Linked DNA regions of Anolis sagrei. The protein of the gene in region 1 interacts with the protein of each later gene in a pairwise test. Links are inferred from orthologs where the notes say so. Each region holds a gene or a part of one and is shown in the gene's direction. Other genes may lie near its edges. The genes, in order: NTAQ1, NME1, PSME3 and FTH1.

The links.
Region 2: the proteins of NTAQ1 (region 1) and NME1 interact in binary tests that used the Homo sapiens proteins (3 or more experiments, as listed by UniProt). The two-hybrid records come from large-scale screens. The link is inferred for Anolis sagrei from reciprocal best matches to the Homo sapiens genes NTAQ1 and NME1.
Region 3: the proteins of NTAQ1 (region 1) and PSME3 interact in binary tests that used the Homo sapiens proteins (3 or more experiments, as listed by UniProt). The two-hybrid records come from large-scale screens. The link is inferred for Anolis sagrei from reciprocal best matches to the Homo sapiens genes NTAQ1 and PSME3.
Region 4: the proteins of NTAQ1 (region 1) and FTH1 interact in a two-hybrid assay, tested with the Homo sapiens proteins (2 studies listed by BioGRID and IntAct). The two-hybrid records come from large-scale screens. The link is inferred for Anolis sagrei from reciprocal best matches to the Homo sapiens genes NTAQ1 and FTH1.

Annotation. Positions count from the first base shown.
Region 1 is NC_090024.1:20,445,305-20,453,150, reverse strand, and holds the start of NTAQ1 (protein N-terminal glutamine amidohydrolase), read left to right. Parts: upstream 1-4,051; 5' UTR 4,052-4,178; coding exon 4,179-4,279; intron 4,280-7,569; coding exon 7,570-7,669; intron 7,670-7,846. UniProt on the Homo sapiens protein: Mediates the side-chain deamidation of N-terminal glutamine residues to glutamate, an important step in N-end rule pathway of protein degradation.
Region 2 is NC_090022.1:114,433,033-114,441,322, reverse strand, and holds the start of NME1 (nucleoside diphosphate kinase A), read left to right. Parts: upstream 1-4,721; 5' UTR 4,722-4,977; intron 4,978-6,180; 5' UTR 6,181-6,187; coding exon 6,188-6,307; intron 6,308-6,982; coding exon 6,983-7,084; intron 7,085-8,290. UniProt on the Homo sapiens protein: Major role in the synthesis of nucleoside triphosphates other than ATP. The ATP gamma phosphate is transferred to the NDP beta phosphate via a ping-pong mechanism, using a phosphorylated active-site intermediate.
Region 3 is NC_090026.1:50,212,438-50,220,675, reverse strand, and holds the start of PSME3 (proteasome activator complex subunit 3), read left to right. Parts: upstream 1-4,573; 5' UTR 4,574-4,781; coding exon 4,782-4,823; intron 4,824-8,238. UniProt on the Homo sapiens protein: Subunit of the 11S REG-gamma (also called PA28-gamma) proteasome regulator, a doughnut-shaped homoheptamer which associates with the proteasome. 11S REG-gamma activates the trypsin-like catalytic subunit of the proteasome but inhibits the chymotrypsin-like and postglutamyl-preferring (PGPH) subunits.
Region 4 is NC_090021.1:237,529,833-237,537,970, reverse strand, and holds the start of FTH1 (ferritin heavy chain), read left to right. Parts: upstream 1-4,921; 5' UTR 4,922-5,086; coding exon 5,087-5,197; intron 5,198-8,138. UniProt on the Homo sapiens protein: Stores iron in a soluble, non-toxic, readily available form. Important for iron homeostasis. Has ferroxidase activity. Iron is taken up in the ferrous form and deposited as ferric hydroxides after oxidation. Also plays a role in delivery of iron to cells.

The DNA of each region.
Region 1 (7,846 bases):
GACGTAGAGGGAGATACGTTAGCCGCCCTGAGTCCCTCTGCGGAGATAGGGCAGGATACAAATTCCCAAAATAAACCTCACTTGCCTTGTTTTCAACAGATCTCACAACCTCTGCGGATACCTGCCATAGATAGTGGTGAAACATCAGAAGAGCCTGGAAAACTCACAGCAAGCCAGTGATTTTGGCAATGAAAGCATTCAACAACTATTTATTTATTAGATTTAATAACCTGCCTTTCTCCAGGATTCAGACCCCAACTATTACTAGGTTACAGGAGTCTATATTTCAGAGGAAGAAAGTGGCAGAAATTATTTCTTGGGTATTAGTTTCCCTAAAACCCTTATGCAGAACTCATTCCTGTTCCCAAATCATATAGCTATTATTATTATTATTATTATTATTATTATTATTATTAGCTATTATTATTAGCCATTCTTATAGGTATGTTCACCTTGGTCCAGGAGTGCTTCAAAGTGGTTGCAGAGTCTGTAAAGTCTCCAAAAGGCTGGCTATTATTGGGTTGCTGGTTATTACTGAGGGAATTATTATTGTTGTTGTTATTATTATTATTATTATTATTATTATTATTATTATTATTATTATGGAAAGCTATTCTTAAGATAAATTTACCTCTGTCCAGGAATACTTCAAAGCAGTTGCAGAGTCTGTAATGTTACCAGAAGGAAAGCCAGCTCTCTCTTCCACAAGTCACTTCCCCTTTGGAGACCATTAAAATCCTTGCAACTTCACCAAGAGGTGGGACTTTCCTCAACATTTCTTCAAGGAAAAGCTTCACCTGTTTGATCAGAGAGTGCTGCTGCCTCACCAAACTGCAACTCCCAGGATGCTATCTCTCAGGGTACATCTATATACTATGGAATTAATACAGTTTGACACCACTCTAATTAACTGCCCTGGCTCAATCCTGTGGGATACTGGGATTTGTAGTTTGGCAGAGAAGAAAAGCTGGTAAAACTAGCTTTTCCCAGGTATATATGTTACATATTATTTTAATCTTTGCTCTGTGTATTTCAATATGTATTTTATAGAAGTGCAATTTAATATGCATCTTTTATAGAAATACATTTTAATTTGTATTTATAGAATACCTGCTCCCTGGTGGGTTAAACCGCTGATTTGCTGAACTTGCTGACCAAAAGGTCGGCATTTCAAATGAGGAGCAGAGTGAACTCCCCGTTAGGCCCAGCAAGAGTGAGTAGATTAATAGGTACTGCTTCTGTGAGAAGGTAATGGCGCTCCATGCAGTCATCCTGGCCACATGACCTGCGATGCGTCTACGGACAATATCGGCTCTTTGGTTTAGAAATGGAGACAAGCACCACCTCCCGGAGTCAGACACAACTAGACTTAATATCAAAAGAAACCTTTACCTTTTTATAGAATTTTTACAATGTTTATGTGTTTTTTAACAATGCTGGAATCCACCTCCAGGCACAAGGAATGCTAACTAAAAAGTAAAATTACACTATGTAACAAAATTTGAAAAAAAGTGTTCCTGAATTGAAAATGTTACTTCCTGTTTAATTGTGTGATCCTTTGAAAGAAGTTGCTACACTCCAGAAACTTTGTATTTGTGGCTGCCACAAACTATGAGATATGTGTATATATGTGGTTTTGCGAATGCATTGTAATGTAACTTTTATTTTTTGGCTTTTTAAGTATCTCCCGCTGTGTTTTTCAGTGTTTTTATGAGTGATGGTCACTTGTTGGGCTGATAGGTGTATTGCGTCCAAATTTGGTGTCAATTCGCCCAGTGGTTTTCGAGTTATGTTAATCCCACAAATGAACATTAAAATTTAATTTATATAGATACTAGATGTATCGGCCACACGTTGCTGTGGCCAACTACCCCCCCCCCCCTCTTTCTCTCCTTTCTTTCTCCCCTTCTTTCCCTTCCTCTCTGGGTGTGTATATATTTGTATATATGTGTGTATATATATATGGTTTTGCACATGAGTTGGAATGTATTTTGTGTTTTTTGGCTTTTTAAGTGTCTTCTGCTGTGTTTTTCCATGTTTTTATGAGTGATGGTCACTCATTGGTCTGATAGGTGTCTTGTGTCCAAATTGGATGTCAATTCACCCAGTGGTTTTTGAGTTATGTTAATCCCACAAACAAACATTCTATTATATAGACTAGCCGTCCCCTGCCATGCGTTGCTGTGGCCCAGTCTGGTGATCTGGAAAATAAAGTAATGAGAAAGTGTTGGTTTCTAATCTATGTAATTTCTTTATGCTTATGGGTAAACAGTATTTCTTACTGTTTCTTTGTCAGTGTTGATGTAGAGATTGTCTGTTTTGCCTACTCTGGAACATGCAACATATCATTGTCCTTCTTTAGGTGTCCCTCTCAAATCCATGATACTATATCTCTCTCTGTGTGTAAATCGTATATATCTATCTATATCTATGGCTGGATGGCTCTTTGTCAGGAGGGCTGTGATTACGTTTTCTTACCCTGGTGAAGGGAGTTGGACTGGATGGCCTTAAGTATTTTCTATTAGTCATAGGGGTTCTGTGTGGGAAGTTTGCCCCAATTCTATCTTTCATGGAGTTCAGAATGCTCTTTGATTGTAGGTGAACTATAAATCCCAACAACTACAACCCACAAATGACAAAATCAATTTTTGAGTGGGTTGTTGTAGGTTTTTTCAGGCTATATGGCCATGGTCTAGAGAGGCATTCTCTCCTGACGTTTCGCCTGCATCTATGGCAAGCATCCTCAGAGGTAGTGAGGATGAGTGATGATCACTCCTTGGGTTAGTAAGTGTCTTGTGGCCAAATTTGGCGGCAATTCGTCCAGTGGTTTTTGAGTTATATTAATCCCACAAACAAACATTACATTTTTATTTATATAGAAGAGGATATGGATGTTAGATTGCCAGCCTTAAGCTGGTGAAACCTTTCCCATTCCTTTATCCCATTACATATGACATATGATGAATCCTATCTATCTATCTATATATAAATGCTCTGTGCATAATGAGTACCTTAAAAACAAAAGAACCAATGAACGAAATCACACCAAATTTGGCAACAAAACGTCTCACAACACAAGGAGTGACCATCACTCAAAAATTTATGATTTTGTCATTTGGGAGTTGTAGTTGCTGGGATTTATAGTTTACTTACAATCAAAGAGCATTCTGAACTTCACCAATGATGGAATTGAACCAAACTTGGCACATAGAACTCCCATGATCAACAGAAAATACTGGAAGAGTTTGGTGGGCATTGACCTTGAGTTTGGGAGTTGTAGTTCACCCACATCCAGACAGCACTGTGGACTCAAACAATGATGGATCTAGACCAAACTTGGCACAAGCACTCAATATACCCAAATATGAACATAGATGGAGTTTGGGGGACATAGACCTTGACATTTGGGAGTTGTAGTCACTGGGATTCACAGTTCACCTACAATCAAAGAGCATTCTGAACCCCACAAACAACAGAATCGGGGCAAACTTCCCACACAGAACCCCCATGACCAACAGAAAATACTTAAGGCCATCCAATCCAACTCCCTTCATCAGGGCAAGAAAACGTAATCAGAGTCCTCCTGACAAAGAGCCATCCAGCCATAGAGAGAGAGAGAGAGAGAGAGAGAGAGATGATTCACACACAGAGAGATATAGTATCATAGATTTGAAAGGGACCCTTAAAGAAGGACAATGATATCTTGCATGTTCCAGAGTAGGCAAACCAGACACTCTCCACATAAACACTGATAAAGAAACAACAAGAAATACTGTTTATCCACAAGCATAAAAATTAAATATATTAGAAACCAACACTTTCTCATTACTTTATTTTCCAGATCAACAGACTGGGCCACAGCAACGCGTGGCAGGGGACAGCTAGTATGATATATACATATATGCACTCTTCCTCCCTCCCTCCCTCCCTTCCTTAATTTTTGCTTTCAATCAAGAAGCAACACAGTGACCCGGAACCCCACTTCTTGTGCCGTGTTTCCCGGGGAAGGTATTGTTTATGGCGCCCGTTCCCTCTCCTCTGCTTGGGGCGCGCGCCTTCCAAGCCAGGCTGCCACTTCCGGTTCCTCTTCGGCTCGCTCCTCTCTTCCTGCCCAGCTTTCCTTCCTGGGGAAATGAGCCCCCCAAGCCTCCCCCATCGCCAGGCCCGTGGGTTCCCGGATGGAGCAGCAGGCTCTCGGGCTTGGAGCAGCCTCAGCCTCGCCTGCCTACCGGCCCGCAGCCTCAGACCGGCCTGGGTGCGTCTACACCAGCTGCTATTGGTAAGGCTTGGAAGAGGCCCCAGAGAAAGGCCGTTCATCACTCCCAACCCCATTCTGCCAATGCAGGAATACACAGGCCCGTCCCACACAGTCAAAATACAGTACATACATCAACACATAGATTATAACATGCATCTCGTGTCTTTATTGACAAGCTGAGATCTGACCAGAGGAGGGCAACTCAAATGATCAAGGGTCTGGAGAACAATCTCTATGAGGAGTGGCTTAAAGAGCTGGGCATGTTTAGCCTGCAGAAGAGAAGGCTGAGAGGAGACATGCTGAGGTCTATGTATCAAGATGTGAGGGGAAGTCATTGGAAGGTGGGAGGAAGCTTTTTTTTCTGCTGCCCTGGAGATTAGGATGCGGAACAATGGCTTCAAACTACAGCAGCATTTCTCAACCTGGGGGTCGGGACCCCTGGGGGGGGAGTCGTGAGGGAGTGTTAGAGGGGTCGCCAAAGACCATCAGAAAACACAGTATTTTCTGTTGGTCATAAGGGTTCTGTGTGGGAAGTTTTGGCCCAATTCTATCGTTGGTGGGGTCTAGAATACTCTGATTGTAGATGAACTATAAATCCCAGCAACTACAACACCCAAATGACAAGGTCTATTTTCCCCCCAAACTTCACATTTGGGCATATTGAGTATTTGTGCCAAGTTTGGTTCACATTCATCACTGTTTGAGTCCACAGTGCTCTCTGGATGTATTTGAACTACAACTCCCAAACTCAAGGCAATGCCCACCAAACCCTTCCAGTATTTTCTGTTGGTCATGGGAGTTCTGTGTGACAAGTTCCGTTCAGTTCCACTATCGATGGAGTTCAGAATGCTCTTTGATTGTAGGTGAACTATAAATACCAGCAACTACAACCCCCAAATGGCAAAACCAACCCCACGCATATTCAAATTTGGGCATATCAGGTATTTGTGCCAAATTTTGACCAGTGAATGAAAATACATCCTGCATATCAGATATTTATGACGATTCATAATGGTAGCAAAATGACAGTTTTGTTATGGTTGAGGGTCACCACAACATGAGGAACTGTATTAAGGGGTCACGGCATTAGGAAGGTTGAGAACCACTGAACTACAGGGAAGGACATTCCATCTGAACATGAGGAAGAACTTACTAACTGTGAGAGCTGTTCAGCAGTGGAACTCTCTGCCCAGAGTGTGGTGGAGGCTCCTTCTCTGGAGGCTTTTAAACAGAGGCTGGATGGCCATCTGTTGGTGCTTTGAATGCGATTTTCCTGCTTCTTGGCAGAATGGGGTTGGACTGGATGGCCCACGAGGTCTCTTCCAACTTATGATTCTATTTGGAAAATAAAGTAAACACAACATTTTTTATTCTGTTACAGAACAGATGATACTATGAACATTTTTGTCAAAATTCTCTTTATTCTTTGTGCTTCCACCGCCCCCTTATTTTTATTCAACTCTTCCCCCCCCCACACACACACACCCCCACCCACACACACCCCCACCCACACATCCCCACCCAATTGCACCCGAGGCTACCAAGATCCTTCAAGTGCAGTATTGCCCTATTGATGCTGCCTAGAATTGTATGAGCTTTTTTAAGCTGCTGCTGTTGACTCATGTTCAGTGTAATGGTTTAGGCAACACAGATAAAGTGACTGACATTCCTATGTTATCTAGGTGCTTCTCCATGATGACACCAAATTTGGAGGGATAGCCAGTAGTCCAGAAGACAGGAGCAGAATTCAAAACGATCTTAACAAATTAGAGAGATGATTGGCCAAAACTAACAAAATGGAGTTCAACAGGGACAAATGCAAGATACTCCACTTAGGCATAAAAAATGAAATGCAGAGATACAGAATGGGGGATGTGTGACTCCAGAGCAGTACATGTGAAAATGATCTTGGGGTCTTGGTGGACAACAAGTTAAACATGAGCCAACAATGTGATGTGGTGGCAAAAAAAGCCAATGGGATTTTGGCCTGCAGCGATAGGAGTATAGTGTCTAGATCCAGGGAAGTCATGCTACCCCTCTATTCTGCCTTGGTCAGACCACACCTGGAATATTGTGTTCAATTCTGGGCACCACAATTGAAGAGAGATATTGACAAGCTGGAATGTGTCCAGAGGAGGGTGACTAAAATGATCAAGGGTCTGGAGAGCAATCCCTATGAGGAGAGACTTAAAGAGCTGTGCATGTTTAGCCTGAAGAAGAGAAAGCTGAGATTATACATGATAGCCATGTATAAATACATAAGAGGAAGTCATAGGGAGGAGGGAGCAAGCTTGTTTTCTGCTGCCCTGTAGACAAGGACTCAGAACAATGGCTTCAAACTACAAGAAAGGGGATTCGACATGAACATTAGGAAGAACTTCCTAACTGTGAGAGTTGTTCAGCAGTGGAACTCTCTGCCCCAGAGTGTGGTGGAGGCTCCTTCTTTGTAAGCTTTTAAACAGATGGATGGCCATATTGGGGGTGCTTTGAATACAATTTTCCTGCTTCTTGGCAGGGGGTTGGACTGGCTGGCCCATTAGGTCTCTTCCAACTTTATGATTCTATGATTCTGTGATGAGAATTTCTGAAGTGGCATGAGAGGCATTCATTACACGATCTAAATACTACTACAGGATATGCCAATTCATTAAGTGCTGATGATAACTTGCCTTTGCCTTCCCCTGAGCCGAGATGATACAGCTTATTTATTTACTGTACTTATACCCACCCATCTCACCCCTGAAGGGGGGCTAAGGGCGGCTTACAAACTATGATAATAATTCAGTGCCAGATTCAGGCAATAACAGTATCAGTAAAACATAACATTATAAAATTGTAATAAATATACATATCAATTAAAGTAATCTTTCAAATGATTAAAACGTATCAAGCTTGCTAGTGGTCAGTGGGTTTCCAGGTCAAACCTGCTCTCCCAGTGTTCTCGTCCCAATACTCAAATTACTACATAATGCTGGTAGTGTCCTTGTATTTAATTCAGCCAATGCATAGGGTGGGGTAAGAAGAGACAGCTGGTTCTTGGCCTTCTGTATATCTACTGTATTTTCCATACAGTGGTGTATGTGATAAGTATAAATCTTAGCAAAAGTCAACTCTGGTTCTAACATGTGCATGTACATGCTCACAGAGCTTTTAAAAAGAGATTTGGCCAAACTTTTAGAAATGGAAATGGATATGAGTAAGAATCCTTAATCTGACTCTTTGAAGTTGATGTAAGTAAACATACTGAATATTAAAATTATATTGTCAGAAGAAAAAAAATGTGAATGTGATGTTTCTGTTTTGTTTTACAGTGAAGAAAATGTGTGGAAACTTTGTGAATACATCCAGAGGCAGAATCAGTACCCTTTAGAAGAATTTTATGCTGTTTTCATTTCTAATGATAGAAGGATGGTGAGTTGTGGTACAGAACTGAATCCGAAAAGCAATGTGAAGTTTACAATATCAAAAACAAAAGCTGGATCCTGGTTTGTTAAGTAGTACAGTGTTTTTACCCTAAGCTTGGAAATGTTACTTTTTGAATTACAGTTCCTAGGATTATCTGTCATCATGGCCATTATTCCTTAGTTG
Region 2 (8,290 bases), on another chromosome or scaffold:
ACCTTTTTTGTTGTTGTTGTCAACTGACCTTCATGGTGGCAGCAACAACCCAGCTCTAAATCTTTGACTAATTTTTCCCATGTGACCTAATATTTGCTTCTTTGTAGACTACTCTCTTGAACTTTCCCTGATGGACTCCTTTGATTTATCACTTTTGTGTAGCTCTTGAACTGCTTGATCTAGAGAACACACTCTACTCTGCTGGTAATTCTGGCTTGGATTTTCAGAGAAGAGAAACACACTTCTCTGACTTTTGGCCAAAGTTACAGCCCTGTCTTTGCAGCAATTAATAGTTTTTTGCCTCCTGTGTCAAAGACAGCAGTAAAATAGGATTAGACTTTGGCCAAAAATAATGGAAAAAATCTCACCACTTGGATGTCCTTTCAAATGACAACAATGCAGTTTTTAAAAGGCAGCAAAGCTCTTACAGCACAGACCATGTGCTTTACCACAGATAGAAGGGAGAGGTCTCATGTGGTCCTTTTACTCTGCCAGATGCCTGGTCTGTGACGCATCACTCACAGATACATACAGATGAGAGAGACTCTGTGAGGAGAATCTAGAGAACCCAGCCTTCAGGGGTTATCAAACCGCAACTCAGTGGAACAGTACAGACCTATGTTGGAGAGGTCACAGGTTTGATGTCTCAGTTCAAAGAGATTTGAGTAAGGCAGCCCTGTGCCACCCAGGCGAGTATAAGTCGGGAACAGGTCACACTCTAATCCTATTTTACTGCTGTCTTTGACACAGGAGGCAAAAAACTATTAATTGCTGCAAAGACAGGGCTGTAAGAAAAAAATATTCTTTAAAAGGGATGGGAATGTTCTCTTCCAGATGAACTATCTGCAGGGTACTATACCTCTTTTTTTCATTTTGCAATAAATTTTTATTGAAGACATACAATAAGTTATAATCCACAGAAGTAAACAAGAATAAAAACACCATACATAAGGTAACAAGAAAAAAGAAGTAGAAAAGAAAAGAAGAAGAAAAGAAAAAAGAGAAAAAAGGGAGAAAAAAGAAAAGGGGGGGGGGGAGAAATACAAAATAGAATATATATATATACACACACACACACATGTTGACTTCCATCTACTTCTTGGTGCTGGTCTCATAATAAGTTGTTACACATAAAACCTCATATTGATTTGCAACACTGCTTTTTAAAATTAATTACAAAGCTGCATGCTTTTCAAACCAATTAGAGATGTGGAAGTCTAGTGAGCAAAAATGGACAAAGGGGGCTCTCCCCTTTCTAAATATATCAATATTCCAGAGTGGAAAAATACATTAAAAGTAGTGCAGGATAAAATCCCTATGAATGAGGGTGAAATAGAATTTTAAATACAAGGTTTGGGGGTTTAAAAGCACCCCCAATTCACTAGAGTTTTAAAAAATGTTGGAAAGCTTTGGTGGGCCCCTGGAGGGTGGTCCTGTAAGCAGGGGCGGCTCAACCCATTACGCAAAGTAAGCATTTGCAGTATAGTTGATTTTGCCCAGGGGCGCTCTTGAGGCGCTCTTCGGGGAAAATAGACCTTGACATATGTGAGTTGTAGTTACTGGGATGTATAGTTCACCTACAATCAAAGAGCATTCTGAACTCCACCAATGATAGAATTGAACCAAATATGGCACACAGAACTCCCACGACGAACAGAAAATATATATCAGTGATTGGTTGGGGGGGGGGGGGGGCAAAATACTATTTGCTTACCGTTGAAAATTATCTAGGGCTGCCTCTGCCTGTAAGTCACATTCAGAGGGCCTGCATGTGAATGATAGCCTACATATTTCCCCCCCTAATTAGGAAGTACAATTTAGGTGTCCAAGGAAAAGGGGCAGGGTACCAACAAGCTACCAACAAAATGTAAAATAGAACAAACGTAAGAGTTCTAATTGTGAACAATTTTCACTGACATACTCTTCAATGGGTTGCTGTGAGTTTTTCAGGCTGTATGGCCATGTGCCAGTAGCATTCTTTCCTGACGTTTGGCTCACATCTGTGGCTGGCATTTTCAGAGGTCCGTTGGAAGTGAGGTAAATGAAGTGTGTGTGTGTCTGTGGAATGTCCTGTCCAAGGTGGGAGAAAAAACCCTTGTCTGTGTTAAGCAAGTGTGAATGTTGCAATCAGCAAGCTTAAATAGCATTAAGTATCCATGAAGATGCAAAATCAATTGATGAGGGTGTCAGCATAGGACATCTGTGGTTGGCCAAAATCACTAGACAAAGATGACAATTGAGAGGCATTGTGTACACATGTCAATCAGAAGCCAGTTTCTGCTCTTGATCTGATATTGTCAGCTGATACCTGTCCAGCTGATTGTCTCCATCAGGCTAAGAGATGGTTGGCCATGGAAACAGGGACTCAAAGTATGTATACTCATTTGAATTCCTTTATTTGACACCCAAGGCCTGATTACGGAAGATCATCACCTTTTGTCTCAAGACCCTTTGCCCCTGTTTTTCCCAGAAAACTTCCTCATTCAAGGACTCATTTACATTTCCTGATATGGACAATTAACTTTCTGGGGCTTGACTCCCTCTGGGAGAGCCACTCACCCACCCAAAAGCTGATTGGCTCTCCCCAAGCCAGGCCCCATAATTTTCTCCCCCCCCCCCCCACCAGAGAGTCTCTGACTAGAGGCAGAAATGTCACAGAAGTGCCAGCCAATCAGAACACTAATTTAGACTGTCCTCTCTGCTGACCAATCAGGAAGGGGAGCAGACAGAGCGGGAAGTCTGAATAGCTGTCAACTGTATAAAAACTCATGTCTCTGTATTGCATGTTATGCTTGTACATTTTGGCATCAGCCCTAGTGGCCTGATTGCTAATAAAACTCTGTGGCTGTCTTCACTTTGTCAGTGTGTTCTTCAATTGGGAACTTCAGGTTTTAGTGTAAATGCTTGCCAGGCATGGACCCTCTATATCTGCAGTCCTAGTCTAAATTTGACTTATCTTTGAAGCTCTTCTGACAGCGATGCCCCAATACACAGATGCTAACAAGTGCAGAGAAAAGGGGTTTACTCTCAACATCTTTGTGAAGGCCTCTTTGTGAGTTAATTGCTAACTCCCCCAGTCTTTTTTCCAAAAATGTTGTTTGTCAATCATAGAGTTTTAAGACCAGAAGGAAGGACCATCCAGTCCAACCCTCTGCTTTGCAGAAAGACACAATCAAAGCACTAATGACAGATGGCCATCCGGTTTGTGTTTAAACCTCTCAAGAGAAGGAAATTCCATCACACTCCTAGAAAGCATATTCCACCGACATGTTAGATTCATATTTTATTGTTTATCTAGTATGACCTTAAGCAGCAATATTTTATTAATGGGAAATGCTGAGAAAAAGTTACTTGTCAGAAGTGATGAGTTATCGATGGAGAACATCTCTCAACCAGCTTGCAGAATAAGATCCAAATGAGAGATGGTTCTTATTTTGCTGCATGCCTTTAAAAAAGGTGAAGAGACAGTTGTGGCCTGGAGAAATACACAACTAATGTTCATAATTGTTTTAGTGGTAGAATGAAAGAGACACGCAAATACTGTAGGTACGATAAATATCCACACATACACACACAAACACTTTATAGAGTGATTTGTATTAGCAGACACAGCCACTTTGAACTTATGCTGGCACTAGCAACTGGGGCGTTAAAGGGCAAAGGATAAAAGGATCAAGAGTGTTCACAGGAAGAAAAAAAGGCAGAGGATCAATCCAGTGAGAGGATTAAAAGACAAATATCAACAGGCTGATGTATAAATAAATATTATAAAAAGAATGTGGAAAAGGGATAAGAAAAGTGAGGAGACTGAAATTATATTAATGACTAGCCGTCCCCTGCCAGGCGTTGCTGTGGCCCAGTCTGGTGATCTGGAAAATAAAGTAATGGTTTCTAATCTATGTAATTTCTTTATGCTTGTGGGTAAACAGTATTTCTTGTTGTTTCTTTGGTTCAATTCCATCATTGGTGGAGTTCAGAATGCTCTTTGATTGTAGGTGAAATATAAATCCCAAGAACTACAACTCCCAAATGACAAAATAAAAATATTGAGTAAAGGACATGCATTGGGTTGTTAGGTGTATGCTGTCCAAATTTGGTGTCAATTCTCCCACTTGTTTTTGAGTTCTGTTAATCCCACAAACAAACATTACATTTTTATTTATATAGATATGCATTTTTTTAAAAACTGAGAGGCTATTTTTTGTACAAGTTAAGAATGTTGGTCTAAAATTTGGAAGGTCCAGCTGCAAGATGTTACTGAGCCATGAACTTCACTGAGTAACCTTCTGATGTATGTATTCTTTTCTTATTAAACGTTGCTAGAAAAACTCTCAGATGGGTTGCCATATGTCAGAGTTGACTTGAAAGCACAGAACCACCACAAATGGCTACAGATAGCTATCTTTAGCAGCAGCAACACTTGTCCCATTGCATCACTGATTAATCTTTGGGTGTATCTACACTGTAGAATGAATGCAGTTTGACACAACTTTAACTGCCATGGCACAATACTGTGAGATCATAGGATTTGTAGTTTTCTATGGTCTTATGCTTTCTCTGCTAAAGAATGTAAATGTCTCATCAAACTACAAATCCCATAGTTCCACATTACTGAGCCATGGGAGTTAAAATTGTGTCAAACTGCCTTAATTCTACAGACCTTGTTGATTTTGGTGGGCAAATGAGCAGCCTGAATGTCTGTTACATAGAAATGTACACAGCTGTCCTTAAAAGCAACAGCAGATGGCGTCCACTGAGTCAAGAAGTTAGCCCTACATTTGGCAAAACCCCCAAAGAAGAGATGACACCAAAGCAGCCGGCTAATGGACACGTGGGGTCCAGCCTTCTCTCCAAAAGAGTCCAGCTGTGAGGCTGGGCTTTCGCCAGGCTGGGGGCTGCAATAACCCTACCACAGCCGCCAACAGAAGCAGCTCAGCAGAAGCAGCAGGAGCAGCAGGAGCAGCAGCTTTGTAGCAGGTATGATGGATGGATGCTGAGGGGATCCTAAGGTGTTTCTGGTAACAAGGCATGGAGAAGCTATAGAAAAAGTAGTAGAAGCTTATCAATAGGAGTGCTTAGGGACTCAACATTTGGCTGGATTTTCTATAGGCAGAAAAAATGTCAAAAGCACATAGGTATTTGAGGAATATGCTCTGAGAAATGTCAGATGAAATATTATATGACTACCCAAGATCATTGGTGTTGAAGCTGTAGGAGGAGTGGAAGCATGTTCCGTTCTGTACAGCCATTTGAGGTCTGACGAGTGATCGAATTTAGTGAGATAAACTGATCATATGATATGGCAAGTACAGTTTATAATAACATAATTCCTATTTTTATAATGCTCTGTTCCTAAACACACTTCACCAAAATAAGTTTAAATTAAATCAGCAGAATGTTCAAAATGAATTTGTTTAGAAACAGGGTATGAGGACAGTGGAATATATAAAATATAATAATCTATTCCGAAGCATTGTCTTATGTAATTACTTTGGGACTATGTGAAAAATGAAATAAAGTTATTACATTTTGACTCATGAACTATAGTCGGTATCTTTGATCCTGTAGGGGAACAACTTTTGGATATCATAGTTTTCTCTTAATTTCTCATAATGTTATTATATGAACCTATTGATTGTTCCCGATATCTAAATTAGGATTATTGAATAATTGTTTCAGATTATTTATTGCTAGATCTCTATTACGATGTACCTCTTAATTTACATAATTATTTATATAACTGGGATGCTGGGAGCTGTATTTGGGGGCTTGTGTCGTTTTAAAATGTAGTTTTTACACTTTTATGCTTCATTGCACAAAAGATGTCATTATTATGGTTTTAATTGTGGCATGTTGTTTATTATTGGCTGCCTTGGGTCCCTATATAGGGAGAAAGGCAGGATAAAATGTAAGTAAGTAAGTAAGTAAATAAATAAATAAAAGTATATTTTCTCATGCAAGTGATTGTATAGCAAGATGATGATGATATAATCTTCAAATTATTCATCTTCCAAACATTGTATGCATTTGGTATAATTTTGATTTGAATATTCTGTATACACTTGTACCTAAACCATTCCACTGATGGTTCTCAGTGTAATACTATACCATAGTGCTGCGGCAGACTGTGTTCGTACCATCGAGACATGTAGCCGGATTAATCCTTGCTTTCTATTGCAGTAGAACAATGAGTGAACGCACTTTCATAGCTATCAAGCCTGATGGAGTGCAGCGAGGCTTGGTTGGAGACATTATCAAGCGATTTGAACAGAAGGGATTCAAACTGGTAGCCATGAAATTCATGCATGTAAGTTGTCTTTGTTTCTGTCACTTCTAGTCAGATAGTCTATTATTCTCATTAGAAATACTTGTTTGCCCATAAAGTTTCCTGATCATTTATGCAGCACTTAACATTGCTAATTTCTTCCACTTTTCAATTAATTCTTTTTAATTAACTATTTTATTGTTTTGACTTTATTTATTTTATTGTTTCTAGTAGTTGGTTTTATTCTCTCATTTTCACTGTAAGCCACTTTTGAGATTCTGAAAATATCAAAGGTCATTAAAATGCTCATTGGTTCACCAATTCAAGCAAATAAATCCATCCTTCTCCGAGATAGCCTTATATTTTGGAATCTTTCCAATACCTGGCAGATGATAAAGCCACGCTGAGTACTCTAATTTTAGTAAGTGGTGGCCTTAGTCTGAAAGGTGAGTCCTCCAACGTAGATTTTAAACTTAAAGCTTTGGCTGTTCTTGGAGCTGCAAAAATCAGTAAACTGGTGTCAGCAGAAAACATATGGACAAACAAACCAAAATAAATATTTCGGACTGGTATTGGGTAGCCCCTCTTCTAATACAGTGCTGGGACCAGTCTTTGAAAAGGATGCATGCAATTTAAGGATTAACACTGCCCCTGTGGCTAATGTTATGTGACATAAGATGCTCTTAAGTTCTTATGCTAAGCATTTTGTTCCTGCAGGCCTCTGAAGATCTCCTGAGAGAACACTACATTGACCTGAAAGATAGGCCATTCTATGCTGGTTTAGTTAGATATATGCACTCTGGACCTGTTGTAGCCATGGTAAGTCTTCATATATACGCTTACTGAAAGTTTTAGAATGAGGCAAGTTATCTAGATTATACTTGACTTATATGTGTGTGTGTGTGCACGCATATGCATTCAAATTGCCTGCCAATTTATGGCAATCCCCTTAATTCCATAGGATTTTCTCAGGCAAAGAATATTCAGAGATGGCTTCACCAATTTCTTCTACTGAAATTTGCCTACATCATCTGGTATTTGTTGGTAGGGACAGATTCTGCCAGTAAGAACTACAGGAATAGCTGCTTTCTCTTGTAAGTGATTTTCCAAGCTCTAATGCTCTGGTTGTCAAAGGCAGGAAGGTTAAACTATCTGCTGAGAAATACCCATGCCAATATCTTTTAGTTCTAATAGCCTGTCTGTAGAATTCAAAGACATAGCCATGCCAGTCTGGAATCTTGTAGTATTTTAGAGACTAACGGAGCAGCCCCAGTTAGTCTCTAGTCGCCTCAGGGTCAACAGTTCTCAGAAATGATTTGATAACACAACAGCAACAAAGCATAGCTTTAATAGACGAAAAAGCTCTTTGTTGCGTGGCAAGGACAGGGCCTGTCATGTGCCATCGGGCAAAGCATGGCAGTCCCTGCCCATATTCCTCCTGAAATGGAGTGGAAGCACCAAAAGACGCTTCCTCCTCCATTCTGGGGAGGAAAGTAGTTTGGGTAGCTCTGATGGAGGTACCCGGACTTTCCTCCCCTTTCCCTTTTTGATAGGGGGAAAAGGTGGAGGAGGCCACCCTTCGTCTCACCTAATGAGCTGCCCCACGCGCCTTTCTTTTGCTGGCAATTGCTGGCACAACGGCACGGACCAAAAGAGCCGTGTGAAGAGATAGTCTATCTACTTCTTCAGATGCACGTGTGTCCATCTGTGATAATTCACCACAGATATGAGTGACCACAATATGGCTAACTGGTTTGTGATGGTAAAAGAGAGGGACTAAAGCACATAGATATGTTATTACTGAGGTCAGAGAGTTAATCTGTTTCTGTGAGATTTGAATGTGTTTCTGCACTTAGTAACTCTTTTGATTTATCAGGCTTTTTGAACTGAGCATATTTATATTTATTTTAAGTTGATTCAGCTACTCTCCTTGGATTTCAAGGCAGCCAACACAGGTGGAGTCCTTTTGTAGTCTTTCATCCAGGCATTGACCAAAGAACTTGTAAATGTTCTGGTACATATTAA
Region 3 (8,238 bases), on another chromosome or scaffold:
TTAAGAAACAAGATGTGACATGTAGAGGTCGGAAGTTGTATTGTGGTTAAGTTCAAAGGTTGTTTTTTGAAGCGCAGAGTCTGCAGGTACAAGAAGGTACTTTCTATCAAAAGGTCAAGGGAGGGGGCTGGAAAGAGAGTACTTTCCATGACAAAAAATGTTCTTATTTACTTGAGGTTATATATTGGTGGTAAAAACCCAAGGAGAGGCGGCAGTCACTGCGTATGCTGTCAGGCTGTCCGTCTTCTTCATGAAGAAACTAAAATAAAACCTTGTTCTTTGATCTTTTTTTGGGACTGTCTCCTTCCTTTCGTGCTCCCGTGATGTGGACCTAAGAAGACCCAATTTAGGGTCTCTAAGAGGTGAACTAACATCCCAGCAACTACAACTCCCAAATGACAAAATCAACCCCCCCCCCCAACCCCACCAGTATTCAAATTTGGGCATATTGGGTATTTGTGCCAAATTTGGTCCAGTGAATGAAAATACATCCTGCATATCAGGTATTACATTACGATTCGTAAAATGAGCAAAATTATAGTTATGAAGTAGCAACGAAAATAATGTTGTGGCTGGGGGTCACCACAACATGAGGAACTGTATGAAGGCATTGTGGCATTAGGAAGGTTGAGAAACACTGTTATAGAGTCTATCAGCAGGTGTAGGTTTACGACACCCTGTGATTATTCTACATGTTTTGTTCAGTGCTATATTCACCTGCTTCGCGTTGACAGAGTTGTGCCAAACAGGGCAGCTGAATAAGACAGAGCCAGGGATGATATAAGTTTCTGCAGGATGTACTGTGTGTAACTACTTTGTGCTTGGTGTTCGCAGTGTTTTCCTTTATCCCAGATCAGGGGTCTTCAAACTTTTAAAACCGAGGGCCAGGTCACAGTCCCTCAAACTGTTGGAGGGCCGGATTATAATTTGAAAAAAGCATGAATGAATTCCCATGCACACTGCACATATCTTATTTTTAGCGCAAAAAATACTTTAAAAATACAATAATTAAAATGAAGAACAATTGTAACAAATATAAACTTATTAGTATTTCAATGGGAAGTGTGGGCCCGCTTTTGGCTGATGAGATAGGATTGTTAGTATTATTGCTGTGTGCTTTCAAGTCAGTTCAGCTTTAGGATGACCCTGAGCGAGGGCCGGGTAAATTACCTTGGAGAGCCATATCCGGCCCTCAGACCTTAGTTTGAAGACCCCTCCCAGATTATCTGGCAGTGCGGACTGACATAATCCAGTTTAAAGCAGAAAACCTGGCATCAGATCCTGGGATATAGGGCCCGCCTGGAAGCGCCATATATTCCAGCTCAAAGCAGATAATTTATTTTCTGGTCCCAATTCAAGGTGCAAGTTCTTACCTACAAAGCCCTGAACGGTTTGGGACCCGCCTACTTCCATGACCGCATTTCTGTATATGAACCCATACGATCTCTTCAATCATCTGGAGAGGCCCTGCACTTGCTCCTGCCCCCTTCGCAGGCGCGATTGGTGGGGACGAGGGAGAGGGCCTTCTCGGTGGTGGCCCCCCGACTCTGGAACTCACTTCCCAAGGACATCAGGCATGCCCCATCATTGGCAGTCTTTAGGAGGAGCCTGAAAACGTGGCTGTTCCAGTGTGCCTTCCCAGAAAAGAAAATTCCCAGCAATATGTCCTCAGAATGCACTTTACTACTGGTTTAGGATTGACTGCGCTCCCTCATCTCTTTTAGAACCCAATATATCCTCCCTCGTTCATGCCCAGCATTTATTTTTTAAATTTTTAAACTATTACATTTGGCCCGGCCACAGGTTTTTAAATCCTTGTGTGTTACTGTTTATTGGTTATTGTTTATATGTGACTAGCCGTCCCCTGCCACACATTGCTGTGGCCCACATGGGGTTCTGTGTGGGAGGTTTGGCACAATTCTATCGTTGGTGGGGTTCACAATGCTCTGATGGTAGGTGAACTATAAATCCCAGCAACTACAACTTCCAAATGTCAAGATTATATTTTCTCCAAACCCCACCGGTGTTCACATTTGGGCATATTTAGTCTTTGTATAGTGTTTGGTCCAGATCCATCATTGTTTGAGTCTACAGTGATCTCTGGATGTAGATGAACTACAACTCCCAAACTCAAGGTCAATACCCACCAAACCCTTCCTGTATTTTCTGTCGGTCATGGGAGTTCTGTGTGCCAATTTTTGTTCAATTCCATCGTTGGTGGGATTCAGAATGCTCTTTGATTGTAAGTGAACTATAAATCCCAGCAACTACAACTCCCAAATGACAAAATCAATTTTTTGAGTGAAGGACATACATTGGGTTGTTAGGTGTCTTGTGTCCAAATTTGGTGTCAAGTCCCCCAGTGGGTTTTGAGTTCTGTTAATCCCACAAACAAACATCACATTTTTATTTATATAGATTTATTATATTAATTGTATTGTACTTATTGTTTTTTGTTTATTGCTTTTTGTTTTTATTGATGTGTTGTTGAGCTTGGCCTCATGTAAGCTGCTCCAAGTCCCTTGGGGAGATGATGGCGGGGTATAAATAAAGTTTATATTATTATTATTGTATTGTTGAAGGCTTTCATGGCCGGAATCACTGGGTTGTTGTAGATTATTATTTTTTTTTGGGTTATATAGCCATGGTCTAGAGCAGGGGTCCTCAAACTAAGGCCCAAGGGCCGGATGCAGCCCTCCAAGGTCATTTACCTGGCCCTTGCTCAGGGTCAACCTAAGTTGATGTGAGGGCAATCTGGCTGCGACATCTGTCACCCCATTGATCGCCAGGATTGATTTGGCTGATCTGGCTGCCTAGGCGGGTGCCCCCTTCCTCCCTCACCGCTCCAAAGTCATTTACCCGGCCCTCGCTCAGGGTCAACCTAAGTCTGAAACGTTTGAAAGCACACAACAACAACAACAACAACAACAACAATCCTATCTAATCAGCCAAAAGCAGGCCCACACTTCCCACTGAAATACTAATAAGTTTATGTATGTTAAAATTGTTCTTCATTTCAATTCTTGTATTGTTTTAAGCGTTTTTTGCACTACAAATAAGATATGTGCAGTGTGCATAGGAATTCATTCATGCTTTTTTCAAATTATAATCTGACCCTCCAACAGTTTGAGGGACTGTGACCTGACCCTCTGTTTAAAAAGTTTGAGGACCCCTCCTCTAGAAGCATTATCTCCTGATGTTTCTGTGTACCATGCAGCTGTGGACAAGTCTACATAGGGACCACCAAACGCAGCATTCCCCAAACACGAATCAAGGAATATGAAAGGCACTGAAGACTACTCCAACCTGAGAATTCAGCCATAGCAGAGCACCTGATGAACCAACCTGGACACAGCATTTTATTTGAGAACACAGAAATGCTGGATCACTCCAACAACCACCATGTCAGACTACACAGAGAAGCCATTGAAATCCACAAGCATGTGGACAATTTCAACAGAAAGGAGGAAACCATGAAAATGAACAAAATCTGGCTACCAATATTTAAAAAAACTCTAAAATTGCAACAGCACAACAACAGAGAGGAAACAAACAAGGACATATAATCACCTCTCAACAAAAGTTTGCTCCAGGCACTGTCTGCCCATTATTATTATTATTATTATTATTAACTTTATTTGTACCTTGCTAGCATCTCCCGAAGGACTCGAAGCGGTTTACAAAGGCCAAGGCCTCAAAACACAACATAACAATACAAAACCTAAGCAATTTAAAAACAATTAAAGCAATATTAAACAACAAGCAATAAAGAATACACCAAGACACAATAAAACTGGGCCGGGCCAGAGTAATGGGTACAGAATTAAAAAGTGCTGGTGTGACAGGTGATATGTAAGGATTATAGGGTAAGTGCAGTGTGCAGCAATCTTAATTCTAATAAAGTGTTTCTGGGACTTGTTATTGGAGTTTTCCTATTCTGGAAAGGCTAATCAAGGTGGTCAGTTGAAACATTCACACCTAGCTCCAGCAGACAAGACTCCTTTGTCCCACCCTGGTCATTCCACAGATATATAAACCCATTTCCTAGTTCCAACAGACCTCACTACCTCTGAGGATGCTTGCCATAGATGCAGGCGAAACGTCAGGACAAAATGCCTCCAGATCATGGCCATATAGTCCGAAAAAACCTACAACAACCCATTATTATTATTATTATTATTATTATTAAGCTGTTTGGACAGGGCCTTTGTTGAATTGGTTGAAACTCTATGAGACATTCATTGAAAAACTACAAGATGTGCTGCAGGATGTCCGACAAAAACAAAATTTTGACAGTTTAATAAACTATTTCCATATTTTTATGATAGAACCAATTAGGAAATGACATTTATAACCCAGGGACAAAAATCGTTGGAGATACTTTATAGATCCTTCAGAGTCACCTTCAGACACCAACCACATGCCAAATGGTATCGGAAACTCGCAAACAATGTTTCAGTCTTTCCTTTCTGTTTCTATGTGCTCCGGCTTCGTTTCTCCAGAGGCCCCGCCCACACAATCGGAAGTGGCTTGGCTGCCCCTTCAGCGCACGCGCCTTCTAAAGGAAGAGGGGCGGACGACAAAAGGCATCGTGCGAATCACGTTGGCCGGCTAGGCGTTCGGTGATTGGTCCAGGCGGGGTGGCTAAGAAGGAGGGGGAGGGGGGAGGTTATGCCGTCACATCCGGCAGTGGCGAAGCCGGTGGTTTCCTTGGGTGGTCGCGCGCGCGCGGGACAGCAAGAGACGGCTCTGGTTCGGGAAACCGGCTCCCCCGCCCCGCCATGGCCTCCCTCCTCAAGGTGGACCCGGAAGTGAAGATCAAGGTACGAGAGAAAGGGAAGAGCCGCTTCCGCCACGGGCGGGCCGTGTCCTTAAGCATGTGCAGAGCGCCGGGAGGCGGCTGGGCGTTCCCCAGCCAGGCTGCGGCTGACGAATAGGGCCAGGACGAGTTGGATGCTGCATGGAGCTGAGGCACCTTCTGCACAGTTGAATAAAACCCTACTTTTATCTGCTTTGAACTGGGATATGTGGCAGTGTGGACTCAGATAATCCACTTCAAAGCAGATATTCTGGGATATATATATAGTTGTGTGGAAGGGCCCTGAGCTAATAGTTCCTCTCGCTGAGCAGCCTGTGGAATCCCTTTTGATCTGATGAACTGTGGTTTAGGGATATTATTATGATGCTCTTTTGGTGCATCTGCACTGCAGAGTGAATGCAGTTTGACACCACTTTAACTCTCCTGCCTCAATGCTATGGAGTTGTAGTTTAACAAGGCCTTCTCTGGTCCCTTCTACACTGCCATATAACCCAGATTATCAAAGCAGATAATCCACATTATCTGCTTTAAACTGGTTCATATAATAATAATAATTTTTTGTCGTGTCAGGAGCGACTTGAGAAACTATTAAGACGCTTCTGGTGTGAGAGAATTGGCCTTCTGCAAGGACGTTGCCCAGGGGACGCCCGGATGATTTGATGTTTTTACCATCTTTGTGGGAGGCTTCTCTCATGTCCCCGAATGAGGAGCTGGAGCTTATAGAGGGAGCTCACCCACCTCTCTCCGGATTCGAACCTGCGACCTGTTGGTCTTCAGTCCTGCCAGCACAGGGGATTAACCTACTGCGCCACCGAGGGCTCCATAATAATAATAATAATACATTATTTATACCCCACCACCATCTCCCCAAGGGGACTCGGGGCAGCTTACATGAGGCCAAGCCCAACCAAAATACATCAGTAAAAACAACAAAGCAAACAAGCAAGTAAAACACAATACAAATATTATAAATAACATATAAGCAGTAACACACAAATTTAAAAACACAGTGGATTAAACATTTTACAACACTGGACGTGAATAGAATGAGGGTATGTCTAAACGGGGGATTTAGAGGATAATGTAGGGAGATCAATCCAACGGATAGTTAAAGTGCTTCAGAGGACATATTGCAGAAAATTAGTTAGATCAGGGCATTATTTCCTTTATTCAGGGAAGGCACACTAGAACAGCCACTTTTTCAAGCTCCTCCTAAAGCACTGGCTCTCAACCTTTCTATTGCCACGACCCCTTAATAGAGTTCCTCATGTTGGGGTGACCCCCAACTATCAAATCATTTTCATTGCTACTTCATAACTGCCTTTTTGCGACAGATATCAGTTGTAATGCAAATATCTGATGTATTTTCATTTACTGGAACCAATTTGGCACAAATACTCAGTACACCCAAGTTTGAATACTGGTGAGGTTGGGGGGGGGGGATTGATTTTGTCATTTGGGAGTTGTAGTTGCTGGGATTTATAGTTCACCTACAATCAAAGAGCCTTCTGAACTCCACCAATGGTGGAATTGAACCAAACTTGGCACACAGCACTCCCATGACCAACAGAAAATGCTGGAGGTTTTGGTGGGCATTGACCTTGAGTTTGGGAGTTGTGGTTCATCTCCATCCAGAGAGCACTGTGGACTCAAACAATGATGGATCTGGACCAAACTTGACACAGATACTTAATATGCCCAAATGTGGACACTGGTGGAGTTTGGGGAAGAGAAACATTGACACTTGTGAGTTGTAGTTACTGGGATGTATAGTTCACCTATAATCAGAGAGCATTCTGAACCCCACCAATGACAGAATTGGGCCAAATTTCCCACACAGAAACCCCATGACCAACAGAAAATACTGTGTTTTCTGATGTTCTTTGGTGACCCCTCTGACACCTCCTCACGACCCCTCCAGGGGTCCCAACCTCCAGGTTGAGAAACACTGCTCTAAGGACTGCCAATGTAGGGGCTTGTCTGATATCCTTGGAAAGCGACTTCCAGAGTCAGGGGGCCACCATAGAGAAGGCCCTCTCCCTCATCCCCACCAGTCGTACCTGCGAAGGGGGTGGGAGCGAGAGCAGGGCCTCTCCAGATGAGATCAATCCAACAGGTAGATAAAGTGCTTCAGAGGACATATTGCAGAAAATTAGTTAGATCAGGGCATTGTTTCCTTTAGTCAGGGAAGGCACACTGGAACAGCCACTTTTTCAAGCTCCTCCTAAAGACTGCCAGTGTAGGGGCTTGTCTGATATCCTTGGAAAGTGAGTTCCAGAGTCGGGGGGGGGGGGGCACCATAGAGAAGGCCCTCTCCCTCATCTCCACCAGTCACAACTGTGAAGAGGGTGGAAGCGAGAGCATGGCCTCTCCAGATGATCGAAGAGATCGCATGGGTTCGTAAACAAATGCGGTCACGCAGGTAGGCGGGTCCCAAACCGTTCAGGGCTTTGTAGGTGAGAACATGCTCCTTGAATTGGGACTGGGAACGTGAATGGCAGCCAATGGAGCTCCTTAAAACAGGGGGTTGACCGCTCCCTGTAAGTCTCTCCAGTTAGTAATCTGGCTGCTGCCCGTTGGACCAGTCAAAATTTCCGAGCTGTCTTCAAGGGCAGCCCCACGTAGAGTGCATTGCAGTAAACCAATCTGGAGGTGACTAAGGCGTGGACCACCATGGCCAGATCATATGAGTCTACACTGCCATCCAATCCAGTTCAAAGCATATAATCTGGATTTTATATGGCAGTGTAGAAGGGGCCTTACTGTTTGAATTAAGGGGGCAGATTTTACCTCAAGGTTTTCCTATTGTTGTGTTCCCGGGTGCAGGTAGAGGAGTGTTTCTAAACTGTAGAATTGATGCAGTATGACACCACTTTAATTGCCATGATTCAAGGTTATGGAATCCAGAAATGTGTTATTTGGGGAATCACCAGCACACTTTGGCAGAGAAGGAAAAATATCTTGTTAAGCTACAAGTCCCATGATTCCATAGCATTGAGCAATGGCAGTTCAAGTGGTGTCACACTGCATCAATTCTACAATGTATATGCGCCCCAAGATGTTTATTTTATTATTTCACTTGTTGGAAAGGTGAGTATACTACATTTTTTCATCAAAAGTTGTTACAACAACTTTTACAGTAAAAATCTCCAAAGCCATGTGCTCTTGGTCATGAAAACTATGGGATCATACCATGACCCATATGGCTTTGCATTAATGTTGAAGTCCCCCGAATTACCATATTTACTCGAGTCTAATGCATCATCAAATCCAATGTGCACCTCAATTTTCAAAATTAAAGAAGTATTTTCTGCTTAGGTTGTTGTAGGTTTTTTTTGGGCAATATGACAATGTTCTAGAGGCATTCTCTCCTGACGTTTCGCCTGCATCTGTGGCAAGCATCCTCAGATCTTGTAAGG
Region 4 (8,138 bases), on another chromosome or scaffold:
AAAAAAAAAAGCCTTCAACTACAACAATTGGTGGCATTCTGTTTCTGATCCCAAAAAGCTTCTCCTGCCTTTCTCAGCAATGCCTCCCTGCTTTCTTATCCTACCATCTTGTTAACTTTCCTTCTAAATGTGTATCTACACTGTAGAATTAATGCAATTTGACACTACTTTAACTGGCATGGCTTCATGTAATCATGGAATTTGTAGTTGGAAGGCGCCAGCACATTTTGTCAGAGAAGGATTAAGACCTTTTAACATTACAACTCCCACGATTCCATAGCACTGAGTGATATCAAACTGCACTAAATCTACACTGTAGGTGCATCCTTAGAGGTGTTCACACAATTCCCTTCAAACATAGAAGATGAGAGAGGGTTGTGTCGAATAGCACCAGCCTCCTGCTGCCAATGCACATGCTAGCACCGTCCACATCTAATCTGCACATCTGGCACATACAAGGAGAGGTCTCTATATGTTAGAGTTCCTTCAAGTACGAGGAGATCAGGATGAGCCCAAGGCATTTCCTTATCTGAAGCAAACAATGTTCATTCCAAATTAAGATGGTAGTACTTGAGAAATTATGTTGGTAATTAACTCAGGCAAAAAAATCTCATGCCGTTTTTGATAACAAATACAATAAAAGAAACAATTATGTTCTGACAACCTGGCACAGACTTGGGTGCAAGATCCTGTCCCACTCTATGGAGTCTAGCCCAGAAGCTTTCACGTACATCATGTGATACAGAGGTTGCTGGGGGTGAAAAATGGACCTCAGAGCACTTGCAATGCCTAACAATGTTTTTGAGTCTTTTGGAATAGCGTTTTTCAGGCCAAAAGAGGAGAATTGCTGCTTCTGAAAGAGTTCAGGTACAACAGTTTACCTTCCAAACAGGTTACAAGGCACAGTAGAAAACAAAGACATAGCTGTGTTAATCTGGATTGGGTTGCTGTGAGTTTTCCAGGCTGTATGGCCAGGTTCCAGAAGCATTCTCTCCTGATGTTTCGCCCACATCTATGGCAGGCATCCTCAGAGGTCTGCTGGAAACTAGGCAAGTGAGGTATATATGTCTGTGAAATGTCCAGGATGGGAGAAAGAACTCTTGTCTGCTTGAGGCAAGTGTGAATGTTGCAATTGACCATATTTATTAGCATTTAATAGCCTTGCAGCTTCAAAACCTGGCTGGTTGCTGCCTGGGGATCCTTTGTTGGGAGGTGTTAGCTGGCCCTGATTGTTTCATGTCAGAAATTCCCCTGTTGTTTGAGATCATGAAAGCTTTCAACAACACATTAATCTGGACTATTAGTATTCCAGAGCAATACAGCTATGTGTTAGTTTTTTGTTATGTGATGAACATAACATATGTAGCTTTCCTGTCAATCTTGTCACATTTGCCTGACAAAAAAGGATTTCTCACTTGGGAACTTCCATTTCACAACTATGTGAGTGTGAGATTTTGAAACTTTGAAAATGTCAGGAAGGATAGAAAGAGATGCCCAGTTGCATAGTATGCCTCTCTGGAAAACATACTTTCTGGCACCCTTAAGCAAATGTATATATATGTATTTGGAAACATACATATATATTGAAATTCTTGGGCAGAGTGTGTAACTGGACCTCACAGATGCAGCTTGTTCATTCTGGCTTGCTGCCTACAATACAGACAATTAGGGCTGTGTATGCCACTGTTTACAGTCCTCCTATCGAGCAGCACACTACATTGCAATCCTATAAACAGGTTTTTAATCCTTTTTTGTGCGTGTTGCCAAATTCTGCTCCGTGATTATCTAACCTGCAAAACCCATAAACTCCTTTCCCTGCTACAAAGTAAAATGTAGTAACAAGCAATTTAATCAATAGTTGTAAAATTCAAAGAAGGACATTTGTAGTACAGATTGAGTATCCCTTATTCCAAATGCATGGAACCAGAAATGTTTTGGATTTTTTTGGGGGGGGGGGTGACAGACATGTATTTGCACATATCATCATTTGCACATATCATCTTAAAGAAAGAATATACATTTTATATATATCTTATACCCAAAGGTAATTTTATACACATACATTAGCGTACATAGCCACTGTTGCCCAGGTGTAGGAGGAGCTGGTGCCCCCTTGCTTTCATTCCTTTCCCTCCTCTCATAACTTTCCCACTTTTCTTTCGCTTCCTTCCTTCCCTCCTTTTCCTTTCTTCTCCCTCCCTCCCCCCTTCTCCTCTCTCTCTCTCTCTCTCTCCTCCCTTTGGTTCTCCTTCTCCAGCCTACCTCACAATGCTCCAGTGGCGACACAGCTGTCTTTATGGCTCCTTCCTTTCTTCCTCGCTGCCCCTCATATATGTCACCTTTCTTTCCCAGTGACATAACAAAGAGCCACTGAATTATCACTGAGCAACAGACCCTTCATACACGTTACCTTTCTTTCCCAGTGACATCCATGAGAGCCACCTAACTCAGCCAATCCAGTGATATCACAGAGGGCCACTTCACCTAGCAATGGCCTTTGTGGTACAAACAGACAAACATCCACATGTTGACTTTCATATATACAGTAGATAGATATTTTTAATAGCTTTGCTCATGAAACAAAGTGCATGTATGCTGAACCGTTAGAAAGCAAAGGTGTCACTATCTCAGCCCATCTCTGTGGACAAATTCAGATTTGGGAGAATTTGGGAATTTGGAATCCCAAATAAAGTGTGCGCAACCTGTAATAGCTAATACTGTATATTACTCCTTATCATTACAGAGCATGATCGGAAAATGGTGGAAGCATTTTCAGAAATCCATTCAGGATGCTCCTGGGAGCTCAATGGTTCAGTGGAGCCCAGAACTGAAAAACAATACTATAAAGCAGGCCTGGGCCAACTTGGGCCCTCCAGGTGTTTTGGACTCTAACTTCCGCCATTCCTAATAGCCTCAGGCCCCTTCCTTTCCCCCCTCAGCCGCTTAAATGGCTGAGGGGGAAAAAGAAAGGGCCTGAGGCTGTTAGCAATGGTGGGAGTTGGAGTCCAAAACACCTGAAGGGCTCAAGTTTGCTCATGCCTGCTATAAAGGAAATGTTACATTCCCTTGTATTTGTGTCACTCTTCTTTTGTGAATAAATATCAAAACAGAATAACATATTTTTGAGGTAATAAAAAAACACTTTTGATCCAGATGTACAAAAACACATCTTTTCTTGTGCTTCCAGTGGTCACTAAACGAATAAACAAATCCACACAAAGCAGGATGAAGTAAGCGAAATGTGGACTGCCACCAGCACACTGCCACACACTTTTGGGAAGACTGGATTTTGCTGGGTTTGCTAAAACAGGAGGCAACTTTATGTCAGTATATTTCCAGCCTCTGAGCAGGAATTTATCACTCACATCATCTGTAGTTACCTAACACACTGACTTCTGAAGTAATGTTATTGTGCCTTTAGGTGTTGCATTGTGCAGAAGTTTTCATCAGTGGCAATATAATTGGACAGCGTTTTCATCAGTTTCATAATTGGACAGCGTCACTCAATCAAAAGTGATTTGAGAACCAATTTATAAGAACATTAACATAAAGTAAAGGTAAAGGTTTCCTCTGACATTAAGTCTAGTTGTGTCCAACTCTGGGGGGTGGTGCTGATCTCCATTTCTAAGCTGAAGAGCTGGCACTGTCCGTAGACAACTCCAAGGTCATGAGGCCAGCATGACTGCATGGAGCGCCATTACAATCCTGAAAGTCAAAAATGTTCCACATTGGTGGTCCATTTTGCAGAACATGTCTTTCTTCTCTGTACAGGTTGCGAATCCCTCCTCTAAAATGCTTGGCATCAGAAGTGTTTTGGATTTTGGAATATCTGAATATACATATTCATGGAGATTGCATTCAAGTCTAAATCTGAAATTCATTTTTACTTGATTAAATAACTTATAATATTATTTCAGGAAAAATGTGGAGTGGGTGGAGGGAGGAGGGGTGGGAGTGAGAGGGTAGGGGAGGTGAAGAAGAGAGGGAATATATGTGTGTGTGTGTGTGTATATATATATATATATATTAAATTAAATTCATTTATTGTTTAAGTGCCTCGCGTTTCTGTTCTATATGCCTCACAAAGAATGCTGTGCTGGAAACAAAGTTTGCAAACATGGAACCATCAGGAAGCAAAGGTGTTGCTGTCTCAGGATGCATCTACACTATAGAAATAATGCAGTTTGACACCGCTTTAACTATCATGGCTCAAGGCGATGGAGTCATGAGAGGTGTTGTTTAACACAGTCTTTGGCTTTTCCTGCCAAAGAGCGCTTGGTGCCTCACTAAATCCCAGGATTCCATAGTATTGGGACATGGCAGTTAAAAGTGGTACCAAACTGCATTAATTTGACAGTGTAGATCAGGCATGGGCAAACTTGGGCCCTCCAGGTGTTTTGGACTCCAAGTCCAAGTTGTGGGACTTGGAGTCCAAAACACCTGGAGGGCCCAAGTTTGCCCACGCCTGGTGTAGACACATCCTAGAGCAGGCATGGGCAAACTTGGGCCTTCCAGGTATTTTGAACTTCAACTTCCACAATTCCTAACAGTGGCTGTTAGGAATTGTGGGAGTTGAAGTCCAAAACATGCCTGCTCTAGAGGAACATTTAAGGCATGTCTGAAGCGCTCTTCCTCCAAATCAACTTCTTCCGACGAAGCCTCGCAGGAATCAACAAGGCGCAAAACCTGCTGAGTCATGCTTACTCTGGAGGCGCGTGCCGGGATGTGTGTACGAGTGTGCGCGCGGGCGGGGCGAGGGAGGGAGGGAGGCAGGGAGCGAAGAGCGCGAGATCCTCAAGGAGAGCCTCGCGCCCGTCCCTTAGCGAGCCTCCATTTCTCCCCCCTCCCTCCCACCGAGCGGAGGGCGTGGCTTCCCTTAATCTCGGATTGTGACGCAGCTCGGGGCTATATATAGAGACGACGTCAAGGTGGCCGGGCCAGAACGCTCTGCGCGACCTAGCTGAGGAGGTTCCCGCTTCAACAGTGATTGGACGGAACCCACTCCCGCTCGGCCGCCGCCCGCTCGCTGCCTTCCTTTATCTATCTATATCCATCAATCGATCCATCCGCTCGCCTTTGTGCTGCCATGGCCTCGTCTCCTTCCCAGGTGCGCCAGAACTACCACCAGGACTGCGAAGCCGCCATCAACCGGCAGATCAACCTGGAGCTTTACGCTTCCTACGTGTACCTCAGCATGGTGAGCCCTGGGAAGGAGAGGGGCGCGTGCGTGTGCGCGTGCGGTGGGCAGGCCTCGAGAGAGAGAGAGCGGGAGAGCGCGCGCAATGGAGCGCTGGAGGGCCAAGGTCCTGCCGCCTCTTCCTCGGGTGCCGCGCATGCGCCTGGCGTGCCCTTGGGAGGCGCCTTCCCTCCTGGACTTCGCCCCGTCCTCTCCAGGAGGGATGGGAGTAAACAGCCACGGCTCCCAAAGAAATCTCGCCTTCTACTGCCTTTGAGGCCCGGATGGGGATGACACAAACCACTGATACGCATTAAGAGCGTTCTTTCGCATTATTTTGTGCGCGTTAAATGGTCAGTGTAGATAGGGCTTAGTCTAGCTGTGGATTCCCCCCATTCACATCCTTGAAGTTCTCCTGAGATAATAGTATGTCGAGGGTCTTAATAGCCAACCTGCAGAGTGTTTGGAAGAGAATAAAGTACACCTACAATGTGAAATTAATGCAGTTTACCGCCGCTTTTAATTACCATACCTTGTGCTATGGAATCCTGGGATTTGTAGTTTCCCAAGGGTTCTTAGCCTTCTCTGGCAAAGGGAAATTTGTCTCACCAAACTATCTCTCCCGGGATCCCATATCATTGAGCCATGGCAATTAAAGTAATGTTGAACAGCATTTATTGTACAGGTCAGATGCACCTTATGGAAGAACCCTGCCTTGCAATCAGTTTCCCCTCTCCCATTAGGATGGGTTAGGCAGCCACAATCCAGCTGCTCTCTCCAGAGATTTTTCCTGGTTGCTTTTTTGTGGCCAAATGCTGCAATGCAAAGAGGAACTGTCTTGTGATGAGCTTGCTTACTTCTCGAGTATTGCAAGATAACTGCGCCACTGGCACACTGCTTGCTGTTGAGTCTTTTTATTCCACTGGACTGTTTTGAGGTAACTGAAGAGTGGGGAGGGCCCCCTGGTGGCACAGCAGTTGAACTGCTGAGCTGAACTTGCTGACCAAAAGGTTGGCGGTTTGAATTGGGGGAGCGGGTTGAGGTCCAGCTGTTAGGCCCAGCTTCTGCCAACCTAGCAGTTTGAAAACATGCAAATGAGTAGAACGATAGATACCGCTTCTGTTGGAAGGTAATGGCACTCCATGCACTCATGCTGGCCACATGACCTTGGAGGTTTCTATGAACAACACCAGCTCTTCAGCTTAGAAATGGAGATGAGCATTCCCCCCCCTCCCCCTGCGGGGTCGGCCATGACTAGACTTAATGTCAGGTGAAACTTTTACCTTTACTAAAGCATGGGGAGGGAGAGTGTTTACACTTTTGTGGTGGGGACCTTGATAAGAATTGATATTGGCTCCTGTTTGCCATTTGCCGGCGCCTGTTTGTTTGCAGAAGCCCCAGTTCTTATCTCTCCAATAAAGAGTGATTGTACTTTAATTGACTTTGGACCTTTTCTCTGGAACATTTGTTTGCATTTGTTGCATTTGTTGACCGCCGTTCTCAGCCCTAGGGCGACTCATATAGCTTTCATATAGCTTGGTTGTTTTGAACACAGCTAAAGCCATTTCCCCAAGTTACTGTTAACTTATATGGTGTGTGGTTGTAAACCTATCAGCATAAATGTGGCAAACATATTTTGGCAGATGTATGTTAAAATGTATTTTTCCAAACACTGGAAGAGCTTACTGATCGAATCCACATATACTCATAAATTAGTTGACCATATGTGGAGAGAGGAAAATGCCAGCAGGGCTAGACGTTCCTGGCCAACTGCGGCCCCCATTTTCCCTTCAAAAAGGCCCTAAATTATACTATGGCTGAGAGAATAGAGGGGATCAATAGTTCCTTTAGGTTTTCCCAGGATAGACAAATAAATGCCCTTTTCCACTCTATTCAGAAAAGAGGATGTTTCCATTTCTTGCTTTTGATAAAGCTTTAAAGTATAATACTTTGACTCATGGATGGTGACCCAGATTTTTTTTTTGGGTTGACTTCTGAATAAATTTTCTAGACTCACATATGATTAAATGCAGTACTTGGAACTCAGTAGCTTTAAAAATGAATTTATTGACACTGGCTGTCAAGGGGTAGTCCAGCTCTTGTTGCTCTGGAGTTCTTTGTGATGTAACATTCACTGGAATACAGATTTCAATTTATGACTAATAGTCAAGGGGAATTGTAAGTGATATAACATACACTTATCTCAAAACCGTTTGTCTGGCAGATGGTTTCTAAAATGGAATGTGCTTCTCCAGCTCTCTTCAACCTGTTTTTGTGGCCTAAACTGTACATTTCACAGAGGTAGCAAGACTGATTAGAGCAGGGATGGAAAACTTTGGCCCTCCAGGTGTTTTAGACTTCAACTCCCAGAAATCCCAACCAGTTTACTGGCTGTTAGGAATTGTGGGAGTTGAAGTCCAAAACACATGGAGGACTGAAATTTCCCTGTGCCTGGATTAGAGGTTCAAAAACTCATCGAAGTAATGTAACAATTTGATACTTAAAATGAGTATTCAGAAATGTTTGATCGCTTGACTGTTGGCAATTTCTTTCCAAGCCAAAAATATCAGTATTGACTACCCTAACTTGCTGAGCTCTTAGAATTATTAAATCCCCTTTTTCTGTTTAAAGGGCAAACTCTCACCTTAGAGGCAAAGCAAGTTACCTTGTTCTCCCTGTTCTGAAGTGATTTTCAGAACTTACTTTCTAGGGGATCTACCAAAAGAAAAAATGACAATTAGACTTGTAACTTTGGTTCATCTAAAGGAGCACTGGGCAAAGTTGAAAGTTCCAGATATCTTTGGACTGCAGCAGTAATCATTCCTTACCATTTGTGGCACGGGTTGTTCTTAGTTCAAATCTATCAGTTTGTCCTCTTTTCCAAAGTCATAGTTCTGTATTTTGCATTAGAAAAAGATCATAGCAAGACCTAACACAGCCAGTTTGACAGGCTTGTTGTGCA